Linked DNA regions of Rhinolophus ferrumequinum. The protein of the gene in region 1 interacts with the protein of each later gene in a pairwise test. Links are inferred from orthologs where the notes say so. Each region holds a gene or a part of one and is shown on either strand. Other genes may lie near its edges. The genes, in order: WDR6, G2E3 and PTPN3.

Evidence for each region.
Region 2: the proteins of WDR6 (region 1) and G2E3 interact in a two-hybrid assay, tested with the Homo sapiens proteins (2 studies listed by BioGRID and IntAct). The two-hybrid records come from large-scale screens. The link is inferred for Rhinolophus ferrumequinum from reciprocal best matches to the Homo sapiens genes WDR6 and G2E3.
Region 3: the proteins of WDR6 (region 1) and PTPN3 interact in binary tests that used the Homo sapiens proteins (3 or more experiments, as listed by UniProt). The two-hybrid records come from large-scale screens. The link is inferred for Rhinolophus ferrumequinum from reciprocal best matches to the Homo sapiens genes WDR6 and PTPN3.

What each region holds. Positions count from the first base shown.
Region 1 is NC_046300.1:7,236,446-7,246,645, forward strand, and holds the start of WDR6 (WD repeat-containing protein 6), read right to left. Parts: upstream 4,684-10,200; 5' UTR 4,589-4,683; coding exon 4,489-4,588; intron 1,735-4,488; exon of another isoform or gene 1,734-1,734; coding exon 1-1,733. Other genes in the region: P4HTM (transmembrane prolyl 4-hydroxylase), read right to left, coding at 5,089-5,309, 5,782-5,905, 6,114-6,204, 6,849-7,034, 7,591-7,753, 9,149-9,245, 10,121-10,200. UniProt on the Homo sapiens protein: Together with methyltransferase FTSJ1, methylates the 2'-O-ribose of nucleotides at position 34 of the tRNA anticodon loop of substrate tRNAs. Required for the correct positioning of the substrate tRNA for methylation.
Region 2 is NC_046289.1:79,632,399-79,642,639, reverse strand, and holds the start of G2E3 (G2/M phase-specific E3 ubiquitin-protein ligase), read right to left. Parts: upstream 4,146-10,241; 5' UTR 4,010-4,145; intron 3,826-4,009; exon of another isoform or gene 3,754-3,825; intron 1-3,753. UniProt on the Homo sapiens protein: E3 ubiquitin-protein ligase which accepts ubiquitin from an E2 ubiquitin-conjugating enzyme in the form of a thioester and then directly transfers the ubiquitin to targeted substrates. Essential in early embryonic development to prevent apoptotic death.
Region 3 is NC_046295.1:62,474,886-62,484,412, forward strand, and holds the start of PTPN3 (tyrosine-protein phosphatase non-receptor type 3), read right to left. Parts: upstream 3,779-9,527; 5' UTR 3,680-3,778; intron 3,359-3,679; exon of another isoform or gene 3,119-3,358; intron 1-3,118.

The DNA.
Region 1 (10,200 bases):
TCGACAAGACTTCTGCCTTAGGACTGGCTGGAGTTGACCACATCGCACCAAGAGCTGGTAGTAGGCACCATCGCGTCCTGTGCTGTACACGTAGCCACCATGGCAGGTGACCGAGGTCACACCCTGCTTCCCATGCAGAGAAGGGAGGGTAGACACAGGGCCCCACTCAGCTGAGGCGTCCTCGTCCCCACCACTGCCACTGCCCACTCGGGGTGCTCCGCTACCAATCACAGCCTTGCCTCCCACCCCAAGATCCTTGAGCAGAGCTGGTCTGGAGGGGAACAGCAACACAGAGCCCCGGCGGTCCCCGCACACCAGGAAGTCACCGGGAGGTAGGAAGGCACTGCATGTGTGCCACCTCTGCTTGCTTGGAGGCAGCAGGTACCGGCAACGTTCCTTGACAAAGATGGCCTTGCCCGAGGGTGCAGCTGAGATCTCCAGGCATGCCACCACGCCCCCAGGGCCCGAGGCCAGCAACAGAAGCTCCTCGTAGCCACGCAGGGCCCAGCTCACGCTGTACACCTTCCCTTGGAACAGGGTCAGGTCCACAGCTGCAGTCGGAGTATTGATGGGCACAACCTTGACACGACCCTCCCCATTGGCCATGGCGCACAGTCCGAAGCCCTCAGGCCCAGGGGCTGCCTCCAGGAGGCAGTAAGACTGGAAGCGCTTGTCCTCTAGCAGTTGCTCCCAGCACTTGACCTCGAGGTCATACAGGTACAGGGCCCCTGCATCAGTCACTGCCAGTACTCGCCAGGAGCCAGCCAGTGTCACCGCCTTGAGGACACCTGGCCTGCTACGGGACTTAAAGCAGAGAGCCGAGACCCCCGAACCTGGGTACCCACGCCCTACCAGGTGCCACAGGCGGATGCCTGAGTCATCGCCCCCGGTGATCACCCAGGCTTGCCTCTCATGGGCAGCTAAGGCCCGGATGCCACGGCCCTGGTGGCCCCGAAACGCCTGGAGGATGTCACCCTCGTGGCTCCACACCAGGCAGACACAGTCCTCTCCTGCACTGACAAGGTAGTTCTCCAGCAGCTTCACCTGCCACACACGAGCACTGTGCCCAAAGCAGTGCCCAACATTCTGTACCCGACCCCCGGGCACCCGCAGGTCACCCACCTTCCAGATGCGAACACTTCGGTCTTCTGAAGCTGTGGCCAACAAGCCCTTGCTTTCCAGGTATGACATGCTGAAGATGACACCCACATGCCCACTGACCCGACGGTCGGGGGCCACAGGTTTACTGTCCATTAATGCGGTTGCTGGGTACCAGACCAGGAGCTGGTTGGAAACAGCACCCGCCACTACGGTCAGCTCCTTCCAGGTGTCTCCGATCAGACAGGCGGAGGAGAGGGTACACCTGTCTGTGCAGGGTACCTCCTGCAGGAGGCAGCCTATCACCGGGTCATACAGCACCACTGAGTTGTGGCCCAGGGCCAGCGCTATGTTCCCCTCGAGCCACCGTGCATCCCAGATCCAGTCAGACATGTTCCACAAGCCCGAGCGCCAGAGCTCCCGGAAGCGGCCCTGTCCCCAGCTAAGTTTCACAATTCGGAGTCCCTTGCTCCCAAACACAGCCACCATGGCCTCAGAGTCAAGGTTGCCATTGGGTTCTGGTCGCACCCGGAATCCATGGATAAGATAGTGGCCAAGCAGGTTCTGCACGCGCCTCATCATCCGCAGGTGCCCAGCAAAATCCAAGCTGTACACCAGGACATCGGGCCCCTCACCTAGAGGGAGGCAAAGAGCCACATCAGAAGTCCTCACTTAACCCTGACGAGCCGTGAAGAGCCAGGGAGCAGGGAAAAGTCTGCACATGCAGCCTGTGAATGTTAGGACACGCAATCCTACAGGCTTGAACCCTGAAAGATCCTTGCTCTCGGCCCCAGCTGCACTTTTAGTGCTGATGCTCCGATCCTGCCACTCCCGACTTTCAGTTCAACCACGAATTCCTCAAACCCACAGCCTCCTCCTGACCCCACCGAGAACCCAGACAGGAACCTTTTCAGCTTCAGTCCCACAGTCCTTAGCCCCCAACTGCACATGAATCTAATTGACCCTCCCTCCCCCAGGGGAGCGGTTGTCCCACTAAGAGGACCTTTCCCCCTTAGGACCACGGCAGAACCCCTCCTGACTTCCAGAAGCTTCTTCCCTATATCTCAGAAGATGGGAGTGTGCTCCATTTCAATGGGGAGAACCAGGAGAGGCAGCCCCCACTTTGGCGGCAGGGGCTCCTGTGGCCCTCAGCGGCCTCCTGGCTGCCCCACAGGCACCTCCCAGGCTATTAGCTCATCCTCAAGTTCTCCTGGCGCTCCTCAGCCCAGGGACCATTACTCCCTCTCCCCCAGCCCCAAACCAGGAAGCCCACAGCTTACTTCTCTTAACTTCCCACATCTTCTCTGTCTCCAAGTTCTGTGGATTTCATTTTCTAAAGAGTTTGCAAATCCTCCCCAGCAGTGACATTGGTCCTGGACATCACATCTTAACCTGACATCACCCTCCACCCTCCTGCTGCCACGTGGTCAGCAGTCTCAATCGTGACATTCAATCAACATTCATTGGGCATCAGTTAAGAACCAAACAATGAACTGTACGCTGGCGTAGTGAATAAGACAAGCAGACCCTGCTCTGTGGATGAGGCAGACTAATTAAGCAATACCACAGATGTGCACTACATCATTATAATTTTGGTAGGTTCCAGGAAAGAACCATATAGGTTGCTTTAGGAATATAAACTACTCCAGTGGTTCTCAATGGGGGCAATTATCCCTCCAGGAGATATTGGCAATGTCTGGAGACATTTTTGATTGTCACAACTGTGAGCTGTGTTACTGGCATATAGGAGTGGAGGCCAGGATGCTGCTAAACATCCTACACTGCACAGACAGCCCCTCACCCAAAGAACCATCTGATCCAAAATGTCAACTGTACCAAGAATGACACCTTGAGGACACATCTTTTAGGCTGAGGAATCACGGATGAGCAGTGGTAAGCCAGAGGAAAAGCAGTTAGGGGGTAGGGGGAACCTTTCTTGACAGAGTATATAGCAAGTTTGATGTCCTTGAGGTGAGCAAGAGCTTATTGTGGCTGGAACCAGAAATGAAGGGCTCAAGGATGGGCTAGAGAATGCTACCGAGGGGGTCAGGGAGACATAGCTGCATGGCCTCAAATGACGGCAATAAAGGTACAGATGCCACAGGTACGAAGTCCGAATCCACCAGATGGGAAGTCACAGGAGCAGGTGAACTCACTAGAAGAGCTTTCTAACCTGTATTTCCCAAGTCATTCCCCTGCTTCAAACCCTTCAACGGGGCCTCCGCACCACCTTTAGGGATAAAGTCAGATCTAGAGCTAAAATGGTCTGGCCTCTGCTCATTTTTCCAGCCTCTTCCAGATCCCACCCCTGCTCCAGTAGCACAGGAATTCCCTTTCCCCCAAAGTGACAAATTCTCTCAGCCTCAAGACCTTGGCATGCTTACCCTCTGCCAGGAACACACCCCTTTTCTTCCCCTAGTTCATTCTTGTGGTTCTATAGGTTTCTGCCTAGGCATCCCCTCCTCCAGGAGCCTCAGGAATTTAGCTCATGGTAGGAACCCTGGGTTCCCAGAGCCTCCTTATTAGACCAAAACTGGGCCATCCTTCCTCACCCCCACCTACCCCTCTTGGGATTGGTAGAAGCTCACTCAAGGCTTGAGAGAAGCACCCTGCCTTGGGACACATAAAACTCTGCAGCAGCAGCATCAGTCACTAGTGGCTTCCAGTCGGGCCTCACTGCTCCCCAGAGCTCTGCCGCCTCCGGCCCCAGGTCTTTGCCAGCCTGTGCTTCCCAACCCGGCCCTCCTCGGAAGGGAAAGGACGTCGGATTTCCACAAACATCTCAGGAGGGGCTTCAGCCTTCGCCTTCCACTGCCTAAGCACTGGCCTACTCAGAAAGGTCTCATCCTGGCTTTCCTGTGACCCCATCCTCGTCATAGGATCTTCATCACCGCGCTTTCAGGGAAAAGCTTCAACCACCCCCGAAGCCACACCCCCGCCTTTCCAGGCCCTGCCCTCCTCCGAGGGCACACCGGGGCCCCCGGACCCGCCAACCTGGGTGGGAGGGGATCCTCATCCGCAATCTCCCCGCCCCATCTCCTCCAGAAGGGCCAAACCCCGCCCTACTCATCGAAGGGGCCACACACCTCTCTCCCTCCCCTTCCCTCGCTTCCAAAACGACTGCGTGTCCCTGCACCTTCCCGCGGCCCCACCGCCCTTTCCACTTCAACTGCAGGTTGCGAAGGGCCTCGGTAGCCACATCGGTGTTTTTGTCTCCTGGGCCCCTCAGGTCGGGTCTCATACCCGCCACCTCCAGGGCTCTGTCCCACCTCCGGACGGACCTCCCCCCGTCGCCCGCCCTCCTCCTCGGGGCATCCCTTTGTTCCATGCCCCGCCCATGCGAGCACTCGGCTGCTTCTCCGCTAGCGCGCTCCTCAAGCCAAACCTCACCCGCCAGCAGCCGTTCCCCCACGCACTCCAGACCCGTGACCGGGAGGAGTATAAGCTCCGAGGTTGCCCGCGGCCAAACGTAGTCCTCATGAGCGTCCATGGCGGTCCTCTAGCCGCTGCGGCTGCCACCGCCGAGAAGAGAGGAGCTCTCGCGAGACCGGTCTTCCCCGCGCGCGGCGCTGCCCATCTACAGCGCCCTTAGCAACAGGTAGCCGAGCCCGCTACCGGTGTCCAATGACGACCCCTTGCCCCACACAACCCAGCTAACGATTGGCGGGGCCGCCCTCGCCCCTCCCCCTCACGTGACACTCGCCGAGCTCTCATGGTGCGGCCCAATCCCCCTGCCCACTCTACCTTCCGCAGACCTCACCTTTTCAGCCCAGCGGCTCAAAGCTGTGTGGTTTTATTTGACTGGGCAGCATGGGTCTGTACACAATAAATAACACGAATATAGGAATTGTGCCCTAATCGCGGCTGGAGGCGGGGATGGGGCGAGACATCGGCCAGGCCTTTGGCCTACAGCTGGACAAGGGAACTGCAGGGCCCGCCGACCTTGGGTGGCAGGCGACCTGCCGCTGGAGGCCAGGGCTGACCCTTCCCTCAGAGCTCCACGCGCGCGTCGCGGTAGGCCCGGTCCAGGGTCCACTCTGGCTGCGAGTCCGCGCCACCTTCGCGGGCCAGGCGCGCCATCTCTTGTTGGAACAGCGCCTGCCGCGCCCGGCTGGGGTCCACATTGATCCAGTTGTTGGCAATCCACTTAGTGCCTCGCGTGACCAAGCAGCCCCCGTGCAGCGAGTAGTCGTCCACATCGCCCACCCAACCTAGGAGAGGAGGATGGTGTGAGCAAGGGAGGGGACCAGAGGACCGCTAGGCTGGTCTGATTTGAGCTTGGCCTCATACAGCCCAAGGACACAGGGTAGGCCCAGCTGTGCACATCTTCCGTGGCAAACATCTGGTCCCAAGGCCACCTTGGGAGCTCAGCATCTCACCAACTAATGCCTTGTCAACACCGCTGGCCCTCTGAAACCAGCTTTCTTGCCAGGCTGTCCAGAGCCCTTCCCAGCCTTGGTTGGTGAAGTGGGAAGGCTGGGGCATCAGGGAATCACGGGTCCAGATAACCCAGGAGACTACACAGATACAGGCCACTGAAGCCACTGAGGATGGTTTTGGGGAGGCATTAGGGGCAGAAAGCCATTTGTAGGGCAGCCAAAAACAGCTCACCAGGGTGGCAGTCCCAGCTGGATAAAGGAAAGCTTCCCTCAGGGCATCCCTGGCCTGGCCACAGGCTCTCACCTTGCCCATCTGGCAGGTAGTTGTACCAGAAGACTGCTGTGCCCTGCCGGGGCTTGACACGCAGGTTCCCTTTTTCACAGTGTCTCCGAGTGTCACGGAGGTCAACATCATCCTGAATCAGGCTCTGTGGGCAGCAGGGTGGTGGGTTTTCAAGCTGTCCCCATTGTTTGGCCAGCAGCCAAGGCCAGATAGCCAAAGGTAGCCAGAGGGAAATGAGTCAGATGTGCCCAGGGGACCACCGGGGCCCTCATTCCAGATCTGGAGGGGAATGAATGTACCATGTTTGCCCAAGGCCCTGCCATCCCACCCAAGTAACAGCCCGGTTGGCTCACCATTTCATCATAGGTCCTGTTGTCTGCTACAGGGAAGACAGTCTCTCCCCCACCGGTGACGTTGTTCAAATAAAACAGCACTGTCATGTAGCTGTAAGGCAGGGGGGCCATTGAGCATGTCCCCAGCAGGGGCTGCTCCCAGGGGCTTTACCTGTAGGCAGGATAAGCTGCCCAGGTTCCCAAAGGCCAGAGGGGCAGGCTGAGATCAGTGACCACAGGGCAGGTCAGTGCCAAGATATCCCTAGCCCGTTCTTCCCACAAGCCTGGTCTCTTCCTGTGTGTCACAGTATTTTTTGTGGCAGATATCACAGGTGCACTTAATTAAATTACGTGGCCCTGACCAAGGGCCCGCTGGGAAAGGTAGGCTAGCAGAAGCAGCAAGATCATGGAGAAGAGCTGGCTGCGACGAGAAGGAGCTGAGTCACAGCTGCCACATATAGAGGAGAGACCTGCCTCTATGCCTTGGCAGGGGCAGGGGACACAGCTTCAAAGGAAGAAACTGAGTCCTCCGGCCGTGGAAGCAGGATCGATACCCGAGAAGGGGGCAGAAAGAGCTGGGGTCTGGCCGCTGAGACAAGATGGCCACCCCCTTTCCTGACACTTGGTAAACCACCTGGGGGGCAGAGGTAGGAGTATCCCCTGCCAAGGGACATGCCCACAGGGCAGGGCTGTGACTGTGTCATGGCGGTGCCTGGCCTGGGAGTTGAAGGCAGCCCCCAGGTGGGAGGTACTTGCCGGCAGGAGGTCTCGAAGGGTACAGATTCATTGGCTACTAGCTTGGTGTGGGAGCAGATGGTCTCTGGGTACACAGGCCCGCTGTCCACATGGGCATGGTAGTGGCCTCCCTCTCCGTACCGCACCACCTGCAGGGGCTCGCTGAGCTCCACGATCTCAGGTGACAGGCGGGTGAGGCGCAGCACCCTGGTGGGCAGCAGGCATTCAGCGGGGCATCCCCATGCAAGGTGGCACCCTGAAGGAGCTGGCCACAAGCTCTGCCCCTGCCCACCTCCCCTGGGAGCCCCTTAAGCCACCCCAGTCTGGTCCTATAGGAGCAGGAAGAGGTTACTCTTAATGAGCCCTTCTCCCTGGATGTTAGAGACACCCACCGGGTGGGAGAGAGGAGATTTCCACTAAATTGGGTGGGGGACACTCCCCCAGGAAGGAGGTTATCTAAAACCCCTGGATGCTCAGAAGCAGGGGGTCCTGTAGACAGAGATAAGAGGTCATGTCTCTAATTAGCAGAAAATAGACATTCAGTCTATCTCTAATCCCAACTGTATACTGTTTGCCCACAGTTAGGGCTCATTTGCCTTTGTTAATTGCCTGTCTTTCGATGGGTCCCAATCCTGGTCTAACAAGTGGAACTTCATCCTGAGTTAGCTAATCAATTCTGTCCTCTCCACCCCAGCCAAGGCCTTCTGTGGACGCCCTGCATGGTCTCCCCCGCTGCACCGAGAGGACAGCATCGGGTGCTCACCTCTGGCGGATGGCACGCATGACGTGATGGGCACCTTCCCCCTGGTAGAGCCATGTGTGGTGGCTGTTCCGCACCAGCTCGCTGGACTCTGCCTTGTGTCTCCTCATGTACTTGTGGAAGTCCCGAAGGTCCATGTTGGAGAACTCCTGCAGGCTCAGCACTCCTGCACGGGGCACCCACCATCAGTGCCCACCAGGCCCATGCGGGGAGGCCAGTGGCAGGCTGCACCTTCCTACCTACCCTGGCCTCAGGCACTGGGGGGCCATGTGCACCTGTCCCCCAACCTGGACTCCTGGGTCAGACGAACCTGGCTTCTGTCACATCAGGCCCTACAGGAAGACCCAGAGAAGTTCATTTCCTCACTTTAAGCCCTGAAGTGGCCCCCAGCCAGAAGAAGCCCAACTCCTATTAGATTGGCCAGAGCAAGGTCTCCAAAGGAAGTTTGAGCTACATGACCTGGACCCTAGGCCATGCACTGCCCCTGGCCCTCCAGCCTGGCTCTACAGAGCATGGTGACCACCCTTGGTCCTGTAGAAGGTGAAGAAAGAGAGCAGTTAGTGCCAGCTTTTGTCTAGGGCCTTCCACACTACAGTGTATAAGCTAGGGCTGGGCCCCAGAAGACTTCACGACTCAGGTCCCATCCTGAGTGAAACATACCTGTTCAGTCCTGCCTGCTGGGTTACCAGATTACCTTAGCAAAGAAAGCCACGCTCCGCAGTGAGAACACTCTCCCTCTATTCCTTCCCAACCCACAAAACAGGGGCTCCCCCCTCTTGGGATTCTGGAACAGGAGCTGATATCTTTGCTCCATATTATCCAGGCTAACCCAAGGGAGACACCTTCCTCTCTTTTGTCCAGATTTCTCTGAGGATGGGGGACACCCAAGGGCTTTGAGCCTGTCACCAGCTCTGTCCGTAGGGAAATACAGCAGCATGATGCCGCTCTAGCCACAGGTCTCGGGCAGATTTTTCACTCTGGGTTCACCAGCCACAAGGTCATTCTTCCAAGTCCTATTTGACTGTTGTATCTTCCTAACTTGGTCAAGAACTTGGGCATGACAGAGGTGACTACACCTCCGAAACCTCCTGAGAGTTATTGTCAAAGGTTGGGGGCACTTGCACGAGAGCTTCCCCGCCCACACCCACACCCAGCAGTTAGAATGACTCCAGGTGGGCAAGAGGAAGGCAAGGGAAACCTTGCTCAGACCAGAGACGGTGTCTGCTAGAGCGGACCCTGTGCCTGGCTGGAGAGAGGCAGATGGAGCAGGTGAACAGCCAAGTTCAATCTGTCCCTCTCTGTCCCTTTGCTCTCGCTCTCCCACTGTGCCCTCTGCCAGCCAGCAACTCTACCTCCTGTACCTCAGACTCTGCCTGATGAGATTAAAAGAGTCTCCAAAAACCGCCCTCTAGACTGTCACTAAGGAGAATGGGAAGGCCTGCCTCCTGCCTATTTCCTCAACTCCTTGCCTGTGGCTACTCTAGAAGCTGGGCATAGAGGCAACCTGGCTACGGGGACAGAAGGCTCCCAGGAGCAGAATTGTGGCGAGGTATGCACTCACCGTCACCATCAGGGTCGGCCTTGATCGCGGTGTACATCTCCTGAATGTTCTCCGGAGTCATCCACCGTCCATTTCCCAGGCGAGTCTGGGCCAGGACCTAAAGCACAAGACGGTCCCTCAGTGGGGTGGCCCCAATGATGGAGAGCCATCAGAGTACAGGCAGCTACCCAGTTCTTGCTGTGGGGCTAAGGTTTCAGGTGACAGGGCATGGGCGACGGCACAGGACAAGCCTGAGCTGAAGTGGGGGTAGGTGGTGAGGTCAGGCAGCATCTGGGGAGGAGACCAGGAAGACAGCCAAGAGCCCTGAGGGCCACGGGTACAACCAGCCCTGCTGGGACTAGGGCCTCCGTGGGGAGCACTGTCAACTGGTTGGAGGACACAGTGAAGGCCAGGCCCGTGTCTCGCTCAGATACCCCAGGTGAGCTGTGGGAGCCCAAGGCCTGGGTGTGAAGAGCAAACAGGCAACGGCAGCGGCCTGGCCAGGGCATGAGCACCACGCCCCTTGGGAAGACCAGGCTCAGTGGGGCACTTGATATAGACAAGGGACCCCACACCTCGCCAAGACCTGTCTCAGAAGCCTGGGGGTAAGAGGCATGCCGAGAGAGAGATGCAGACTCCCCCTCAGAGTTGCCACCCCGTCCACCATGAAAAGTTCCACGGGGCTCCCCCCTATGGCAGCCAGGAATCCAGTCACAGATGGCACAACACCCAGGAAATGTGGTAATAAATGCCATCCCTCCCAGGCAGATTCTTCTGTTAGCCTCTGGGATTCCTGGGGCAGCAAGGAACGCCCCGGGGAATGAAGGGGACAGTGGGCCTGGGCATGCCCAAGCTGATATGAGGTGTCATCTGACTGTTGGGGCCAAGCCTGAGCATGACAAGTGATGTGGCCACCAGAAAGATAATTCTGGGCACTCCCCACCCACATGCTCCTCACCCCGCTATGCCTACTCCAGGCCCTAGGATCCCAACCTCGCGGAGCTGCAGGCGACCATCACGGTTCTGGTCCAGCAGCTGGAAGAGGTCCAGCTGGCTGACCTGCATTGTGCCCA
Region 2 (10,241 bases), on another chromosome or scaffold:
GCAGAGCAAGCATCCGAACCAGACATGGCAGGAATGTTGGAATTATCAAACCCGGAATTTGAAACAACTATGATTAATACACTAAGGGCTCTAATGGATAAAGCAGACAGTATACAAGGACAGATGGGCAATGTATTAGTTCGGTGCAAAAGTAATCGCGGTTTAAAAGGTTAAAAATAATTGCAAAAACTGCAATTACCTTTGCACCAACCTAATAAATAGATAAAAATCCTAAGAATGCACCAAAAGTAAATGCTAGAGAGATGATAAACACTGTAATAGAAATAAAGAAATGTATCTGATGGGATTATTAGTAGACTGGACAAAGAATTGGGGCTTGAAGATATCTTAATAGAAACTTTAAAACTGAAAAGCAGAGAAAAAAGATAAAAAACAAACAAACAAACAAAAACCAGAACAGAATATCCAAATACTGTGGGGTAATTACAAAAGGTGTAACATACACATTTTGGAAATACCAGAAAGAAAAAAAGAGAAAGGAACAGAAGAAATACCTGACACAATAAAAACTTAAGGACTAATTAATTAATGCCAAACACCAAACCACAGATCCAGGAAGTTCAGAGAACACCAAGCAGTATAAATGCCCCAAAACTATACCTAGGTTTGTTTTAAACTTCAGAAAAACAAAGATAAATTTAAAAATACTGAAAGAAGCCAGGGTAGGGGGGTGCGGGGGGAAGGGGGACTCCTTATCTACAGAAGAACAAAGGTAGAAATTACATCCAACTTCTGCTCAGTAACCATGCAGCAAAAAGACAGTGATGTGAAACATTTATAGTACTTAAAGAAAAAAATACCAACCTATTTTTCTGTATCTTTTGAAATTATCCTTCAAAAGTGAAGGAGAGGGACAGCCAGATGGCTCAGTTGGTTAGAGCAAGAGCTCTTAACAAGGTTGCCAGTTCAATTCCCACATGGGATGGTGGGCTGCGCCCCTGCAACTAAGAATGAAAACAGCAACTGGACTTGGAGCTGAGCTGTGCCCTCCACAACTGGATTGAAGGACAATGACTTGGAGCTGATGGGCCTTGGAGAAACACACTGTTCCCCAATAAAATTTACTTAAAAAAAAAAGGTGAAAGAGAAAAACTTTTTCAGACAAAAATTGAGGAAATTCGTTGCCGGTAGACCTACCTTGCAAGAAATGTTAAAAGTTCTTGAGAGACAAGGAAAATAACAAAGGTCAGAAATTCAAATCTACACATATAAAGAAAGAACACCAAATAAGGAATAAGTGTAGGTAAAATAAGAACCTTTATTCTTCTTATTCTTAACTGAGCTAATGGACAATAGTTTGTTCAAACTAACAACAGCTACAATGTATTTTATTATATTAGTTGTACATGTATATTGCACTGTAGAGCAACCACTAAAAAAAAAAAGTAAAATAAAAATATAACTGGTATCCTAAAAACTGAGAGAAAATATAATCATACAAATTGCTCAATTAAAAATCACTAAAGGAGATCCCGGATGGCTCAGTTGGTTGGAGCGCGTCCTCTCAACCACAAGGTTGCCAGTTCGACTCCCCCAAGGGATGGTGGGCTGCGCCCCCTGCAACTAGCAATAGCAACTGGACCTGGAGCTCAGCTGTGCCTTCCACAACTAAGATTGAGGGGACAACTTGACTTGGAAAAAATCCTGGAAGTACACACTGTTCCCCAATAAAGTCCTGTTCCCCTTCCCCAATGAAAAAATCAAAAAATCAAAAAAAAAAAAATCACTAAAGGCAGAAAGAGTGGAGACAAAAACAGAAACAAAGAACAAGGGCAACAAATAGAAAAGTGTAACAAATATGGTAGATCTTAAACTGACTATATCAATAATCACTTTGATGTCAATGGTCTAAATGTACCAATTAAAAGACTGATTTGTTAGAGTGGATCAAAAAATAAGACCCAATCATATGCTGTCTACAAGCAACCCACTTTAAATACAAATTACAAGTAAATGGATGGAGAAAAACATTCCATGCTAACACTAACCAAAAGAAAACAAGAGTATCTATATCAACTTCAGACAGAGCAGAATTCAAAGTAAGGAAACTTTATCAGAAATAAATAATGACAGAGGGGTCAACTCTCCAAGAAGATATAACAATACTTAACATGTATGTGCCGAACAACAGGGTGTTACGTAACTCTGCGAGGCAAAATAGAATTGAAAAGAGAAACAGATAAATCCACTATCACAATTGTAGACTTCAACATCCCTCCACCAAAAATGGAGAGATTCAGCAGGCAAAAAATCAGTAAGGACATAGTTGAACTCAACATCATCAACCAATTGGATATAATGGACTACTTCATCCAACAATAGCAGAATACATTCTTCTCAAGCTTACATAGAACATTCACCAAGATAGAAGATATGGAATTCAAACCCAGGCAATTTGACACCAGTTCCATGCCCTTAACCTATATATTATAAAGCCTCTCTAAGAAAGATCAAGTCAGAAAACTGGCCAAATTTTCTAACTTCCCAGTTAAATTTACAGATTCCTCAACCCCATCTTCCAGACCCACTCTGAGATTTGAAGTGCAGGAATCAGAGCTTAATAAATCCTTCAAGGTAATGTGTACGAAATAAAATTTGAAACTCGCTGACTTAGGTAGATAGAACAAAAACTCAATGAAAAGAGTCCAGGTAAGGAAAAGAAACAGGTTAAAATGCAGAGACTTTTTTTTTTTTTAATTACCACTTACTGGTAGCTTATATAAAATGAGCAGCAATTGTCTGCAATCTTTAGGATAGTATATCTAATTTCTTTAATGCAATCTTACACAAAATTTTAAATTTCAACAATTATAAATAATGAAAGTTGAAAGCTGTATTTTTACTGGCTAATAATGAAACAAACGTTCATTAGCAGAGATAGGAGGAGAGTGGGAGTAGCCAGCATTGGATGAAGGAACGTCTATTCTGAATATTACTAAGTCCTACTTTTAAAAAGATGTTTATACATTTATATGGTAGGATACCCTGGTGTTAAAATCTTAAAAGAAACAAAATATCTGTTCCTATAAAGCAACACAAAATTAACCTGACAGTTTTCAATAGGGCACATTTCTACACATTTAAAGTACTCATTTATAGTTTACATTTAGGGTACACCATTAACTATTCCAGAAGGCATGACTTTGCTACGGCGCTAGAGTTTGATATTTTAGGTAGTTCATCATTAAAAATAAATAAAACAAAAACCAAAAACACCAAAAAACTAAAACAAAGAAAAGAAAACCCTAAGCTGTAAATACTAGAGTACTTCCAAAATGACTCCACAATAACCCAACTGGCCAATGAAGGAAGGCGGTGAAAAGGTAGGTCTGTGGAACTAAACCTTATTCTTATTCTTATTGTGAACAAACCTTGTGAATGACCGCTGTTACTGTGGCCAGTTTAAATGAGCAAGAGTCTCGGGTACGTGAAAAATGTCAACCGTGAACGAAAAATATCCGGGTTTTAAATACAAAGGATACTCAGATTTCAGTTTAAATTCCCAGCAGGCATTTCAAAGACTGTCATTTCCCTGCGGGCCCAAGTAATAGACTTCTACGGGTCTCCCTCTTAGGAGGAACTCAGAGCCACAGAGCATCTCCTCATTCTAAACCTGTCCCCAACCTTCCATCTTTAATAAAGAAAGATTCTTTTACCTATGGCAACGCCTTCGCAACTAGGTAACTACTGTTGAAGCTTCAATATTCCAGCCGAACCGGCAAAAATACTAACCTGCTATTACCAGAAAGTCAACCGTTTAAACCAGCTCAATTTTGGGCGTGCGGGGCTTCCGATTTCACAGTACACTGAGTTGCTCTAGGTACGCCAAGCCATCGGGAGCGCAGGCCGGGGAAACGTTCTCCGGCGCCCCGACTTCTCCAAGACCCCACACTGTCCCCGCTCCCCAAACCCCCAAGGCAGTCCCAGGCCCCGGCTACACTGGCCCGCCTCCCGACCCCCTTTCCCATGCGATGGTCCCGCTTCTCACCTCGGAATATTCTGTCGTTTCCCGTTCCCCGTCCACTCACTGAGGCAGGCGGGGCAGAAGCTCCAGAACCGCCGTATCACTACTTGGTTCTTGCGCGAGGCCAACCGCGAGCATCCTCATACAACCGCCAGCACGATTCAAATTCGTCCACTTCCGTCCGCGACCCGGAAGTAGCACGTAGCCCCGCCCCTGGAGAGGCGGAGCCCGCGGCGACGCGGGAGGTGGGAAGAACCCGGCGCGCCGCGGCTCCTCTCGCGGAGCGACTTGCGGTGGCTCTACCGTGTCGCTTCAGTTTCTTTTGTCTCGCTCCCTACGTAGATCCACAGAAAAAAAAAGGAAGTCCCGGCGAGGGGGGTCGGTGGTTCTGCCTGGTGTCTTTGGAACGGATCCTCTTGTTTTTGAAATGGACAGAGACGTGCTGAAGTTTTCATTTCTTCAAATAGGGAGAGAATAAAAGCACTACTGGAGCCCGGACGTTTGTACCCCTTCCCTTACCCTCGCGTAAACAACAGCAACAGCAAGAAAAACAACAACCCCCTTATGGAGTTTCCCTGGGTCTGCTTAGTTCTATCCCGGCAGAGGCAGGACTTTTAACCTCTTTTTCCTCCCGTGTTTGAGGAAGACAAAAAGCCAAGGTTGTGCTAATCAACCTTATTCCAACCACAAGTAGCAGGACCAGTCCTGGTTCCAAATAAAATATTTGAGGCTAAGTGTTAGAAAGCGACAAATTTTCCCCCCTCCCCTAATTAGAGACCATTTTATAAGATGATTATGTAGTTGTCCTGTGAGACTCTTGGGACAACGGTGTCATTTAATCAAGGATTGCACAGTGTATCCTCGATCCAAAATGTCTCCAGCTTCTGATCTTGACATTGCCACCAGTTCATCCTCATACCTAATAGCATAGATTTACCTAACCTGATCAGTTCAAATAAAGTCATGATAGAACACTTCAGCCTCCGTCAAAACTGCAGTTTGAAGGATTCACTAGATTTCTGGGAATTTCTTTCACAGATAATCTGACACAAGGAGGTCTAAAGCTATTAACTGATGAACTGTTTTTAACAGTGGAAAATAAGAAATAACCTGAGTGTCTATCAATAAGAAAATGATTAAGTAAGTTTCTGACTTTAGAGTCTGATATACTGGCACTAGTCAGGCACTAAAAATAATGAAGTGTATCAGTAAGTAGTCAAATGAAATAATGAAAAAAATCAGCTTTAGAAGGACTACATACAGTATCCTTTAAAAACATGTGTGTGTATATGGCAGGCAAAGTTTCTGGATGAATACATTGTAAAGCTATCTCTGTGAGTCAGATTGGTAAATGAGGATGGGAAGAGAATTTTTTAACACATTATAACTAGTTGAATTTTTTAATAAGCATGTTTTACTCTTGCAGCTTTAATTGTTTTTAAAACAAGATTGTTAGAAATTGAATATATTCTAATACAGAATCAGGTTTAAATGTACAATGTATAATGTTTGAATAGTCTACCGTCCATTCATTCATTCATTCATTCTTTCTTTCAGCAATTATATAGTGATGGTTTGACCATACATGTTGTCTTCATGATAGGTTACATTGTTTAATATCCCACATTTTTAATATGGCCCCATTAAATATATTGTTCAAGTTCCTTGTAGGCAGAAACTATGTCATACACATGTATATATATATGTATGTATATATACATACATATATATTTTTTTTTTCCTGTGTTTTTCATAATTCTTGGCATCTGCCCCCCATTAAGTTTCATTCTTTACAGACATTAAATTCTTAAATTAATCTGCAAGCAAAAGTTAAATATACTCAAATTGCCCTTGGAAAGCCCACAAAACAATCTAAAATTACTATATATCTATAAAATAATATACATATGTGTGTGTGTGTGTGTTTGTGTGTGTGTGTGTGTGTATATATGTATGTGTATGTATATATATATATATATATATATATATATATATATATATATATATATGACCTATATAGGCAAGTTTTTAAATATTTGTTCTCTGAGTTTTCCTCAGTCAGTACTTCTTTAGGACCCTTAATGATTTCCTCAGTTTCTTCCTCCAAAATATTGACAAAGTTAATCACCCAGCAGCCCTGCCATCAGTCAGACCAATGAGATTAATTTTTCAACGCAGTGGAAAACCCCTTAAAGTCATTGACTTTTTTTCCCCCCATAGAATTAGCTGGGCTTAAATGTATAAATTGCCTAAGGCTGGTGTTTATTGAGTGGACTGTCAAGTTATTTGTACTATTTAAACAGTTACTCCTTTTTCCCCTCAGAGTGACTATAGGTAAATTTCCATACAATCAGTATTCAAGTAATGCTACAGCATTTCATAAACAAAGAAGATGTGCAATAAATACAGGTACCCACTGACTAAATCAAGGAGACTGAGTAAACACAGACTTAAGAGGTTTTTAAAGAAAATATGCACAACAGAGCACATTTAAATCTAAAAAATCTGGCCATCAGAATATGTATTCTGATAGCTAATACATTTTTTTTCAATTACGGAAATACATTGATGAGTATTACACTTAATAAAAGCTGCAAAAACTGAAGAAAAAAAGGACAAAGGATGTTATTTAGTTTCTGATGACCACCCCCTTAGAATTTTGAACTAGTTGAGAACTAAATCTGTTGAAAATTTTAACCATAGCTAAAGTAACCTCTCTTCCCTGCTTTCCTCCTCCTATTCACCCATCTACAGCAGAAAACAAATCAAAATCACTTTTGAGATCAATGGTCATCAGCTTACATACAAGAGTCAATACAAAGTGTTTTGGCAGAAGGGCTCCTAGAATCTACTCTGAAAGATTTTTACCGCAACCAACATGAGTGGCGATAACAACAAAATGCCTAGAAATAAATTTAAAGAAAACTATAGGCCTTAATATTTTTAAAAAGTGCAATTGGAGAACATAAGTGATTTCAATGTTTTTAAATGGTAGATATAAGAATTAAGATATTTTAGAAAAATATTATCAGAGTCTGGGAGGAGATCATTTGTCTTAGTAGAGAGCAACACTTACCACAAAGCTACTATGATCAAAGAGTAGTAGAGAAAAAATTCTTTTAGCATAAAAAAGACAAATACATAGAGAATCCAGGAAAATTCAGTTATATGTGGGATATTAATATATTAATAATTAATATATAATAATATATAATAATTTATATATATCATTAATATATAATAATAAAGGTGGCATTTCAGTTTAATAGGAAAAAGATGTTTCATTTATAAATTAACAAGAAAAGACGGTCACTGACTATCTATCTATATGGAAGATACAAAGTTAGGCCTCTATCTTGCACCATATGCCAAAATAAATTCTAGAAGGATTATAGATTGAAATATAAAAATATAATAAAAGTGTATTGGGAGACAAATTAGAAGAATAACTGCGACTTTAGGTTAGAAAAGACTTCTTAAAGAAGGGAGGAACCTTAGAAGCCATAAAATAATAGATAACTATGCCACCCCAAAGTATGACACTTTGCCATAAAAGTTATTGGGAGTTGAAGACAATTGAGAGAAAAGCAGACACAGGAAGAACTCTCTTCCCTTCCCCTATCTAACTAAAAGCAGGGCAAAAATTTCCCTCTCTAAAGGTGTTCCGCCTTCTCTATTCTGTACCAAGTTGTGGAGAACACCCTTTATCACTAGAGATGAAGATGGAACCAAGGAGTCTACACTAAAAAGTCTTACTAAATAACCCTTATCTACCATTATTTTCCCCCCTATACTTACTTTTCCACAATTTATTGCTCATAGAAGCCCAAACCTTTCTTCCTTTGTCTAGTCACTTCTCAATTTTTTGCCATTTGTTAAATTGGTATGTAAGCTCTTAAGCCCAACTACTTCTTTGGGTTTTCACTTCTTTACTGTGGACCCGTGCATGTAAAATTAAAAAGAAAATTTTTACACCTTTTCTCTATCAATCTATCTTTTGTCAGTTTAATTTGCAGTACTCCAAGTACTGAAAATAAGAGGGTAGAGGAAAAAATTTTGCTTCCCTAACAAATACATAGGACTATGTTAAAGTGCAAAGTATTTATCTGGCAGGGTTCACCATAAAACATCAACATATAAATGAGAGACAGTGAAAAAATATTTGTAATACATATAATACAAGGTTAACAATGCTAATGTAAACAGTTTGTGTAATTTTATTTTTTGAAAAATAATAAAAATGGACAAAAGAAAACTTCGTTGAATAGGAAATGAGAAAGGACTATTTAAAAATACTCAATCTCACTTTCACACTATCAGAAACTAAATTTCCTTTTTTGGATTGGTAAAAATTAAAACAATTCATAACATCCAATACTGGGATGGTTTGGTTGTAAAATATACATTCTCATCTACTGGGGACATACACTGCTACAACTCTTTTGCAAAGTAATTATTTGATCAAATCTTCTCAAGTTTGGAATTCTCCTTCCAGAAATAAACATGCTACTGCATTATGAAGCACTCCTAATTAGAAATAACTGTCTATCAGGAGGAAGTTACTGACTAAGTTGGGGGTACATTTAGGAGACTTCACAAAGCTATGCCGCTTTGTTCCTGTTAGCTGCTGCCTCCCATGTTAGGGCTATTGAACCCCCTAAAACATACAAATGAAAATGAAGAATGATATTACGAGCTCTGACAATTAAGTTCGCCAACTTGTTGCAATGATATTGCTAATCTTTTTTGACATCAGAGGGACTACTCATTATGCATTTGTACCAACTGGACAAACAGTTAACCAAGTTGACTATTTGGAAGTGCTGAAAAGGCTGCGTGAAAAAGTTAGACGACCTGAACTTTTCGTCAACAATTCATGGTTCTTGCATCATGACAATGCACCAGCTCACACAGCACTGTCTGTCTGGGAGTTTTTAGCCAGTAAACAAATGACTGTATTGGAACACCCTCTCTACTCAGCTGATCTGGCCCCAATGACTTCTTTCTTTACCTGAAGATAAAGGAAATATTGAAAAGAAGACATTTTGATGAAATTCAGGACATCAAGGGTAATACAACAACAGCTCGGAAGGCCATTCCAGAAAAAGAGTTCCAGAATTGCTTTGAAGGATGGACTAGGCACTGGTGTCTGGTGCATAGCTGCCCAAGGGGAGTACTTCAAAGGTGACCATAGTGATATTCAGCAATGAGGTATGTAGCCCTTTTTCTAGGATGAGTTCGTGAACTTAATTGTCAGACTTCATATTTAATTAGAAAAGTAACAATATTCAGCTATATAGTAATGCTGATAAATCTGGCCCTGTAGCATGGCACTCATTCTTCCATTAGCACTTGCCTAGAATCGGTACACACTGTTGGACTGAATTGTCCTTTACAGTCTCTCATTCCTCCAATATGGTTAGCCATAGGGAATTTCTGGTAACCCTTTCTGCCTTTCATATGAGCCAGATTATCTTGATCCTCATCTCCTATCCACACTTGAAGAACATATTTCACCCATACTTTTGGCAGACCCTGGCCTCCCTTTCTTATACCCACATAGCTCCCAGAATATCTGGCCACCTTGAGCATAAATTGCTAGCTTTTGCCCTTAAAGCATTCCTTATCAAATATTCTGCCTGGTACCTAAGGTCACCTAACCTATATGCTTCCCTGATGAGTCACCATCCCTGAGATCTTGAAACAAAACTTGAAGTGTACTTCTAGAAGGAACCATTCAAAAAGTCTAATCAGAGGTCACCTCAGATTCTTATAATAGGATACCTAGCCTAGAAGCAAAGCATGGGTGTGTGTGGGGATAATGGAGGGGGCCAGGACTGTTGGTAGATGGGAAGTGTCACTTATGTTTCCTGGTCTTGCTTTTGCAATTCTTTCTTTAACATCTTTTATTATTATCATTATTGACTTAACTCTAATGTCAACCTACTGCCTTACAAAGGAGGTACTTTTTTTGGAAATCATTCTAGAGGAGCAACAAATTTCTTCCCTGCTCCCCCATTCCTATCTCTTGTATGCCACTTTTCCTCTGTTCTACTCACTAGTCTATTATGTGCAATGGTGCCAATGCAACTAAAAGACAGGAGAGAAAAACAAGTAGGCAAGGTGTCTGCTTCTCCTCAGCAATTCCTTACACCAGCACTGCCAATACAAATGTTAGCCACATATACAGTTTTAAATTTTCTAGTAGCCACATTTTTAAAAATCAAAAGAAAAGGATGAAATTAATTAAAATAAT
Region 3 (9,527 bases), on another chromosome or scaffold:
ACTGAAATACACACGCTCTCTTCACGCCTCTGAGCGTTTGCACCTGCTGTTCTGTCTGCCCCTGAATGCCATCTTTTTCTACCTTCAAGGCTGAATTCAAATGCCAGCTACTCCCTACGACATTCCTTGATGCCCATCAGAATGAGTGGTTGCCTCCACCGGTCTCTCTTGCATCTGGCTTTAGCGTCTTTTAAAGCAGTTATCAGATGATAGATGGACAGATCGCACACACTCACACACACGCAAATGTCACTGTCTTCCTAATTCTGCCATGAATCCTTCCAAGATGTGTTCAGATTTCATCTCCATAACCCTAGTGCTGGACACATGGTATAGACTCAGTAATTGTCTGAATTTGCTGTTAAATCTGTGCTCACAGCTGGTCTTCACTGGAGGCACAACCAGAAGTTGTGTGATGCAAGATCTGTGGGTCTTGGAATCCATGACCTGATCTGATTGCAGCCAGGGGCCTACCAAGTACTCCCTTTAGTGCCCCCTAAGGCAGACGAAAGGCGACACCTGTGACATCAGAGCCTGTAGTTTCTGAGACCCAGACCAGAGCAGTGTGGACACTGACCAGGTCCTGTCCCATCCCTATTAGAGTCGGTGAGAAGAGCGGAGGCTTGGGAAGAACACCAGCAGGCTGCCCCGCCCCCACCAGCCTGTCACCGTCAGGGTAAGTGCCTTAGGCATTCCAGCTCCTGCAACAGACCCTGGGAAGAGAAGAATGGGGGTCGGCCCTGCTGTCCAGGAACCACTGTCTGGTGGAAGGAAGGTCAGCACTGGGATTACGGTCAACAGGCACTCTCCTAGATAGAGAGGGAGGGACCACACATTGCTGGTCCCTTCCCAGCCTGCCACCACGCTGAGGGTTAGGAGGAGGTAGGGTGCCACATGTCCTGTTCCCTCCAATCCCCAAAGCCAAGCCCCTCTGATGGACATTGTCTATTTTAGAAAACAGAATCCCTCCGTGGGCCTGGACCTGAGGTTCACAAGGTCACAATTCATCCCTGTTGCTCCTGGCCCCACACTACCTTTGCTAGCTCAGTTTCCTTAACTGCAAGAGAGGGAGAGGGAGGGCACTGAAATGAAACAATGTATGTGAAACCTTCTAGTTCACAGTCAACAATCAATCTCCTCAGACCATTTACCAGCCTGGAACCCCAACTTCTTCCAGGGATAAGATTTGTCTCTGACCAGAAGTTAAAAGCTACCAGGATACATACATCTCTATGACAAAATGCAGAAAGGAGGGCTCAGACACAGGAGGGGTGAAGCAGTGTGGGACCCTGAATCTGACTATGTGTTAACTTAGGTTCTGTTTCCTGCCCCAAGCTGTCCCTGAAGCCTTCTATTGTGTCTGGCCTGACCAGGCAGAGAAGTTCCCCCAGGCACCCTGGTGAAGCTCATTGGGGTCCACTGGCCAACTCTGCATCCCCCATGCCCAGCACTGCACTGCCATACAGAACAGAATGCCTGAGCTACTCTGAAATGCCTTCAGTAACTTGACCTTTTACATTCTCCAGCTAATGTCTAATTTGCATATAAGAGTCGGTTTTAGGAGATGGCAAGTCACCAGAGACAGCTCAGGATCAATATAGAGTATTAGGCACGTTTTATTCTACTCTAATTCTCTGCAAATTGGTATTCCATTAACTGTACGTGGGATTTATGGGCGCTCACTATAAACTAGAATATTTAACTAGAACGACCTACTCTCTGTCAGATAATAGCCTACTATTGTTAACGTTCAACTAGTCAATCTCAGAAAGGTTTCCAGCTTCCAGCCTATTTTACATCTTGATTTAATCATCAGGAAAGTCATCTATTTGAAAGTCTCCACACCATAAAGGGCAAGCTTGATACAGAAGAAAAAGACCTGCCCGTGGAACCAGAACACCTGAGTTGTGAGGCAGCTATACCACATAATGTGTAATCGACTGCTCAAAGCCTCGATTTCACCTGTAAGATGGGAATAGCACCAGCCTCAACAGGGAGTTGTAAAAATTAAATGAGTTGATGCATGTGGATGGTCTCTGTGCAGTTTTATAAAGCTATACAAAAGTCAGTTACTACAGTACAAACAGAAGATGAAACTCTCAGACCACGTGGATAAGCTAATGACAGAAAGCAGCAGAGGTTCTAAAGATATTTGGGATATTTGGACCCCCCGAGAACACCTGGCCATGTCTGGAGGCATTTTTGGTTGGTTCAACTGAAAGAGGGAAAGGGATGGTTACTGGAATCTACTGGGTAGAGACCACGGATGCTGCTAAATATCTTCCAATGTATAGGATAGGCCCTACAACAAAGAATTAACTAATCCCAGCCATGAGATTAAGAAACCCTGGTCTAAACAATCACTTAAAGTTGGGTCTAGAAGCTTTTTGAAACAGAAACCTTCCTAACCAGGTTTTACTTTCAAAAAGCACCATCTGCTTAAACATTTGCAAGATGGATCATCACACAAAACAGCTCTTTTGTAAGGAAAGCTGAACTGCCAACTTCTGGAGTTTCTGAATGTATAAAACTGCTTTTAAAGAAGATGCTCTCCAATTACAATTCGGCTAAATTGTTTTTCCAAAGCCCTTGACTTCGGTAGAAGTTCTCCAGGGCACAAGGACAGGGTCTGTCATTCTGCCACTAGGCCCTGAAGATGCTTTCGTAATTCTAATTTCCTGGTGAAATGGGAGTCACGAGGGTCTCTAAACGAATTAAATTCACATCACGCCAACTGCTGGCCTGCTTTCTGCCGGGCACGGTGCCAAACACCTCCACATAATTTATCCCACTTAATCCACCCAACAATCCAGTAAGGTGGGCATTATTACCGGTAGTTTGCAGGGGAGGAAATTGAGCATCAGAGAAGTTAAACAACTCGCCCAAGGTCACCAGCTGCCTAAGGGGGTGCCCAAGTTGATCGGAGGTCTCCAGTTTCCAAGTCACAAGCTCTTTCCACCACCTCGGAAAACCCAGGTGTCAAGTTGTCTCAACTTCCCATGAATTTTTAAGGCAATAGCAACTTCTCAGTAACTTTAGGTTGCTGAAAATGGGAATTTCCGGGGGGCAGGGAGCACCCACATACACTCCCCTACTGCAGCTGTCTCACCGCAGGTACCTGATAAATCATTCCATATCGCCCGCAGAACAGGGAGGATTTATTGGCACTGGAGTTCGTGCCAGGCCCAGGAAATGCCATCTTTGAAAACCGAGAGGCGGATTCGCCCTGGGAGCCGAGAAGCTCTGGCCGCCCCGCGGGCAGTGCGCCCCCTCGGCGCCGAGGACCTGGGTCGCGGTGGCGCTGGGCCCTCCGGAGTCACGGGCTGCGCTAGCTCCGCGGGTCGCGTCCGCCCCAGCCCGGGTCGGAGCGCACGCCCACGCCTCGCTGCCGCCGCCGCCGCCGCCGCCGCCGCCGCGTCCCGGAGCCTGCTCCGGAGCGAGCCCCACCCGGCCCGGCCTGTTCCCTCCCGCCCCGACCCCGCCAGGTGAGCGCAGGAGGGGCGCCCCCTCCCTGCCCCGACGTGGCACCGGGACCCCGGGGCCGCGGCGTCCGCCAGCCCGCCCGCGCGTTCGCCACGCTCCTGGGGACGGGTGGGGGCGGGGCGGCGCCGAGAGCGACCCCGGCCCTTGATCACCCCGCACCCTGCCCCCGACCCGCTGGGGTCACGCCGGTCCGTACCTGCAGCATCCGGGGGCGCGGGGCGCCCAGGTACGTCGCGCGTGCGGGCGGCGCGGAAGCTCGCTCGCGGCGCGACCTGGCCGCCGTCTGAGCATGCCCAGTGCCGCCCGCGGGCGGCTCCCGCCGGCCGGGCTGGCCGCGACGGGCCCGCGCGCGGGGCGGGGGGCGGGAGCCCGGGCCGCTCTACAGGGCGCCCCCGCCCCCGCCCGGGGCTGCTTGCCGGGACGCGCCTCGCAGGACCACCGGGGCTCTCCTGCCGGGCTCTGGGCAACCCCGAGTCCCCTCGCGCGTGCACGCAGTCATTCCTTCCATAACCATTTATTGGGCACCTACTATGTGCCCGGCCCTCAGTGATCTCATACCTGTGAATGTCAAGCAGTCGGCGCTCAACAAATCTTCAAAATGAGGAGACTGGCCAGAGGGTCCGTGGTTTTGCTGGGGTCCTGCTGTGCTTATCCCCAGTTCAGTGCTTATCCCCTTCCACTAGTAAGCTTCCAGGCTTAAACTTTCCCAAGATTTGGGGGCCCCCTACTTGATCTGTGCTCCTGCTTTCCTATTCCACCTCATCTCACACCTGCCTTCTTGCAGCCCCTTCTCCCCCATTAACACCTTTCTGTCCACCACCACTCAGAACTTGGCCAGCCTTCACATACTTTTGCCTCTCTGTGGGCCGTCTTCGCTCAGCTTTTCATGTGGCTGTCCCCCTTCTGCAAGAGGCCTTCCCTTACCACCTTACTAAATTTGCCCCCTGCCCCTGGACACTTCATGTCCTCGCTTTATTTTCTTCACATTTACCACTATCCATTAATTCCTTCAACAAATAATTATTGATCATCTACTCAGGATCTTCACGTGTGAACAAATAGACCATCCCCGCATCCACCCCTCCCCCCATGGAGTTTGGAAGAAGAGAGGCAAGGCAACAGACAATAAACATGCAAGTAAGCAAGCTATATAGTGTATTGGGAGGTGATACGTTCTATGAGGGAAAAAGAATAGGGTAAGGAGACTTGAGGGTGAAGGGAGTACAATTTTCAATGAGGTGGTCAGATGGGGTGACATTAAGAAGGTAACATTTCAGCCACGCAGGATAAATTGGAAAGAGCATTCCCTAAAGAGGGAATAGCCAGTGCAAATACTCTAATGCACAGGACCGCTTAGGAAATGGCAAGGAAGGCACAGTAGCAGGGGATGAGGCCAGTAACTGACTTTTCTTCTGATTTGCTTACTTATTGTGTATCTGATTTGCTTACTTATTGTGTATTCATCTCCGGATTTTCAGCTCTGGGACTGTAGTCTTGCCTGTCTTGGCTGCAGTGTCCCAGCCCCTACAACAGCGCCTGGCACACAGTAGGTGCTCAAAAATGATTTGTTGAATGAATATGTGAATGAAGGGATGAAGGGATGGAGCGATGGATCGATGGCTGGAACCATCCTGTCTAGACCCGAATGCTTGAGATCCAGGGGACCAGTAGGCCTACAGCCATAGGGCGGCTGCCAGCAGCACCTGGTACCCCACTTCGGTCCCTGTCCCCGTGTCGCCCATCCCGGGGAAGAGCCACAGCGGCTGGCGCCGCCAGAGTGTGGTGGCGTCGGGGGAATTCCTACGCAGCCAGGGAGACCTAGGAACTGGACCTCCTCCGCGCCCCGCCCCGCCCCGACCTCTGGTCGTCGGAAAAACCTGGAGCTGTGGCATTCAGCCAGCACCATTGGGACGGGCGGGGTGCTCACTGGGCATGCTCAGAGCTGGGCGGGGCCGGTGTGCCCGGGAGGTGGATCCTCCTGGACAAGCTGAGGACTACCCCTGCAGAACACCACGGAACCCCTCTTAGATGGGGGGGGGGGTGGCTAGATGCGACTGGGGACTTTTTTTTTCAAAGCTCAGTGGGAAAGCTGGGAATTCAGAGTCTGCAAAAGGCATTCTCTGTCCTCTTCCAGCCGCTGTGTGACACAGGGCAAGCAACTTACCCTCTCTGTGCCTCAAATACGAATACCTACCGGTTGAATCTGGACGGGATTGAATTAAATCAAGAACGTGAACATTTAGTACACTTTAAAGATCCATTTCTTGAGTGCCTACCTCAATTATCCGTTAGCCTTATACTAGTTTTATAAGTGCTGAGATGAGGAAATTGAGATTAGTGGACATGTGAATTCTTGGAGTTCTCATAATTTGCCTTCCACAAGGACCTAGGTTGAAACTACCTTTTCTTTCCTCACAGACAAATCATTAGCTTAAACAGCGTTCTCAAATTAGGGCTAAAATATATCGGTACGTCTAAGGAAAAAGACCAAATATATCTAAAATTGTGCATTTCAAATTACCATAACAGAAACAGGAACAAAAGGAAAGAATATCTCCAAAACTGGAAATAAATGTTGAAAATGGAGGAATGATTAATTAGGTTATGGTATATTTATGGAAATAACTATTTTACGCTAAATAAGACCATGCTGCAATAGGGGAAATACGATGTTTTCCCCTATTGTTAAGTGATAAAAAACTGAAAACACAAATGCACTGTGTAAAAATTTTGTCTCCACATTCACCAGGACTTACAAGGAGATATGGAAATATGTAATAGTCTGATTAGGAGGTAGTGGGATTGTTTTTTCTTTTTAAATGTATTTATTAATGTCACAATGTTCTGTTTGCAATCATAAACATTTAAAAGATCAAATTAAAAATTCTTAAAGTTTTGTATAAGTCTAATAATAATAACAACAATAATAACCACTATTATCAAGCTCAAGTGTAATCAGTGTTTTACTCATCTGCTGTCTTTAATCCTTATAGAGTGGGTGTTTTCAGCTCAGTTTTACAGAACAGGAAACATTCAGGAGCTGTTCAGCTTACAGCTGGTAAGAAACAGGGTCAGGATCTGAACACAGGTTGGCCTGACCTCAAAGCCAGGGTGTTAGGTTTTATAATACTGCCTCTCTGTATAGTAGCTTACCATGTATTGATCATTAAAAAAAAAAACGTATATTATTCCATTTTGTGTCTTTTTTGCCATATTTTCTCTACCCTTTGATGTGTTTGTAGGCCACAGATTACCTTTAAATATTCTGGTCTCCTGTCACTGTTTTATTCTTGGGGCCAAAATGTTAAAGTCCATCCTTTTAAGCTGTTGCACCTGGAGTGAAATGATGTTATTATCAGCAATGACAGTTAATCTTACGTCATAAACCTTATGCAAATGAGGCTTTTGGATGGACATATAATCTTCTTAGTCTGTGTATTGAATGAACCCAGCCAAATCTTGAGTAAATAGAGGCCCCATTGGGAATAGAGCTGTACCAAGTCTCAGATAATGAGACCAATCCAGAGAGGACCCACACAGATTACTGTCCGTGGCAATCATTTTGGAGGCAGACTCTCAACATAATGGAACCATGTGGTCCATGGACTCCTCAGGACTTTGCTGTGATGAAAAGATACATAGCTGCTGGTCCTTGATGATGTTGGCAGAGAGAAAGCCAGGGCTCTAAAAGTAGCCTTCCTACTATTGATAAATTAAAAAAAAAAAAGTCAGCTCTCTTTTTTTAAAGAGACTGTAACTGGCCCCAAAATCACTAAATTACAACAACAACAAACACAAAAAGTCAAAGAGGGTCATTTCATTGGAGAGGAAGAAATTCTGCAAACCAAATATGCATTACTGGTAATGGGCCAGATTGATAAAAGTGAGGAGGAACAAGAGATGAGCAACTGCACAGTTATTAGCAGCGTTCCCAGAAGCTGCCATTTGGACAGAAATTCTGGTGCCAAGAGCTGCATGCAAGCAATTGGCTGGGGGCATTTATAGGAAGAGTTTCCTGGAAGAATCACTGAGGATTGTCATTCACATCAAGACTCAGGAAGTCTGGGTACCACGTGGACCTCTCTGAATGATTTACAGGGCAGGGCTCCCAGCTGAGATGCTAATGCTCATCAATTATTTGTGCTGTTAATGCAAGCTCAGGAAGGGCCCAAGAATCCCTAAATATGTGGTGCTGTTATAATGACAAGTGAAAAGAATTCAATGTAAAGTTAGCATAGTATAGCTTCAACTGGGTGAATTGCTCGGTTAAAAACCATATAACACTGCCATTTTGTAGGTCCACAATGGTTAAACATCAGTAATGTCCTATGTTTCAACTTAATAAGATTCACAGAAAAAAGACCAGAAAGAACTGCACCAAAATATTAATGGTGGCTCTGAGTATTGCATTTACAGGCAGAGAAACAAGATACAGAAGGTATCTTTTATAAATTAGGAGAATTTCAAGTCTTTGGGTATCTATTTCTTTGTATGTCTTTATAGTTCCCTAAATCTTATTTTACACTGTGTTTCTTTTATTATCAGGAAGAATGAAGCAAACTTAAAAGTCGGCAAACTGAAGAAGATGATGTAAAGAAAGGGAAAATAGCTACTCTGGAACTGTACAGAAATTCACCCCTCACAGAGGGTGAAGCCCGCCCTGCCTGTCCAGCAGTGGCAGATGGCGACAGGATGTCTGCTCCTGGCCCAGGAGGGAGAGAGAGGAAGCAGTGGTCAGTAGTCAAGTCAGGAGCCTGTAGAAAAGTGTTAGTCCAGCACGGGACCCTCATTCCCTCAACCTGTATTCCTGGGACTCCAGGATTTCATGGATCTCACTTTGAGAAACAGATTTTTAAGCCTAAAGTTTTATCCATTAAAAAAACCACAAAGTCTTCCGATTTCAAAGTATTACTGCCAAAGAGTTTTGTCTGTAAAACTGATGAACAAATTTAGCATGAATACAAGAACAGAGATGAGGTGATTGTCGTCGATTCATTCATTCATCAGATATTTATTAAGCACCTACTGTGTGTCAGGCAGTGCTCTTAAGTGCGTAGGAGACATCAGTGAACAAAACAAACACTAATCTCTGCTCTTGTGGGCATGCATTCTAATAGGGCAAGTCAGACACTGAACAACAAACATTATAAATAAGTGAATCATATATATGTTCAGAAACCGGGGTTAAAGGTGACACGGAGAATGATGGAGGCGGGGTGGGGAGTTGCAATTTTCAATAGGATTGAGAAATTTAATCACTTAAGCAAACACTTCAGCAGAGACCTGAAGGAGATGAGGGAGCTGCTATTCATGCAGAAATCTGGAGCAAGACTCTTCTGGGCAGTGGGATCAGCCAGTTCAAAGGCCCTTAAGGGAGCATGTCTAGAGGAAGGGGGCTGGTGGGGCAAGCAGGAAAGCTGCATGAAGTGAAGCCAAAGAGGTACCAGGAGCCAAAACCTGAACTCCTCCCGCCTACCTCCCGCCCACTGTCAGCCCAGGAAGGACTCAGCCTTTCCCTCTGAGCTGGATGGAAGCCAAGTCAACCTAATGGCTGCCAAATGTGCTTGACAACACATCAAAGAGTTAAATGCTGCCCTTTTAGATGGTCACTCAATGATGACTGTTACCACAGATTTGAATAAGGGGACTGAAATCATGTAGCAGCCCTCTGTTATAAGGGCGTCAGCCAGACCATCCAGATTATTAATATATTTTTAACATTATCATAACATTAAACAAGCATCTCCGAGGGTGCTCAGACCTTCAGGGTTGCTTAAGTGAAACCTCAGGGGTACATGGACCTGTGTTTCAAAAACTCCTGGCACACATGCTATAGATCTGACAGAGGACCAAATGGATCATGGCAGACCCACAGACCACCACACAGATATGCTGCTGCATGAAAACCAGAAATGTAAGTCGGGCACTTTGAGATCCTGCTCTGGAAACTCAAAGCATTGAGGATGCTTCCATCAACAGATGGCTGTGGCTTTAGAAGCAAAGAGAAATGCTGAGAAATGCTAAGAAAGAAAATTGCCATCCTG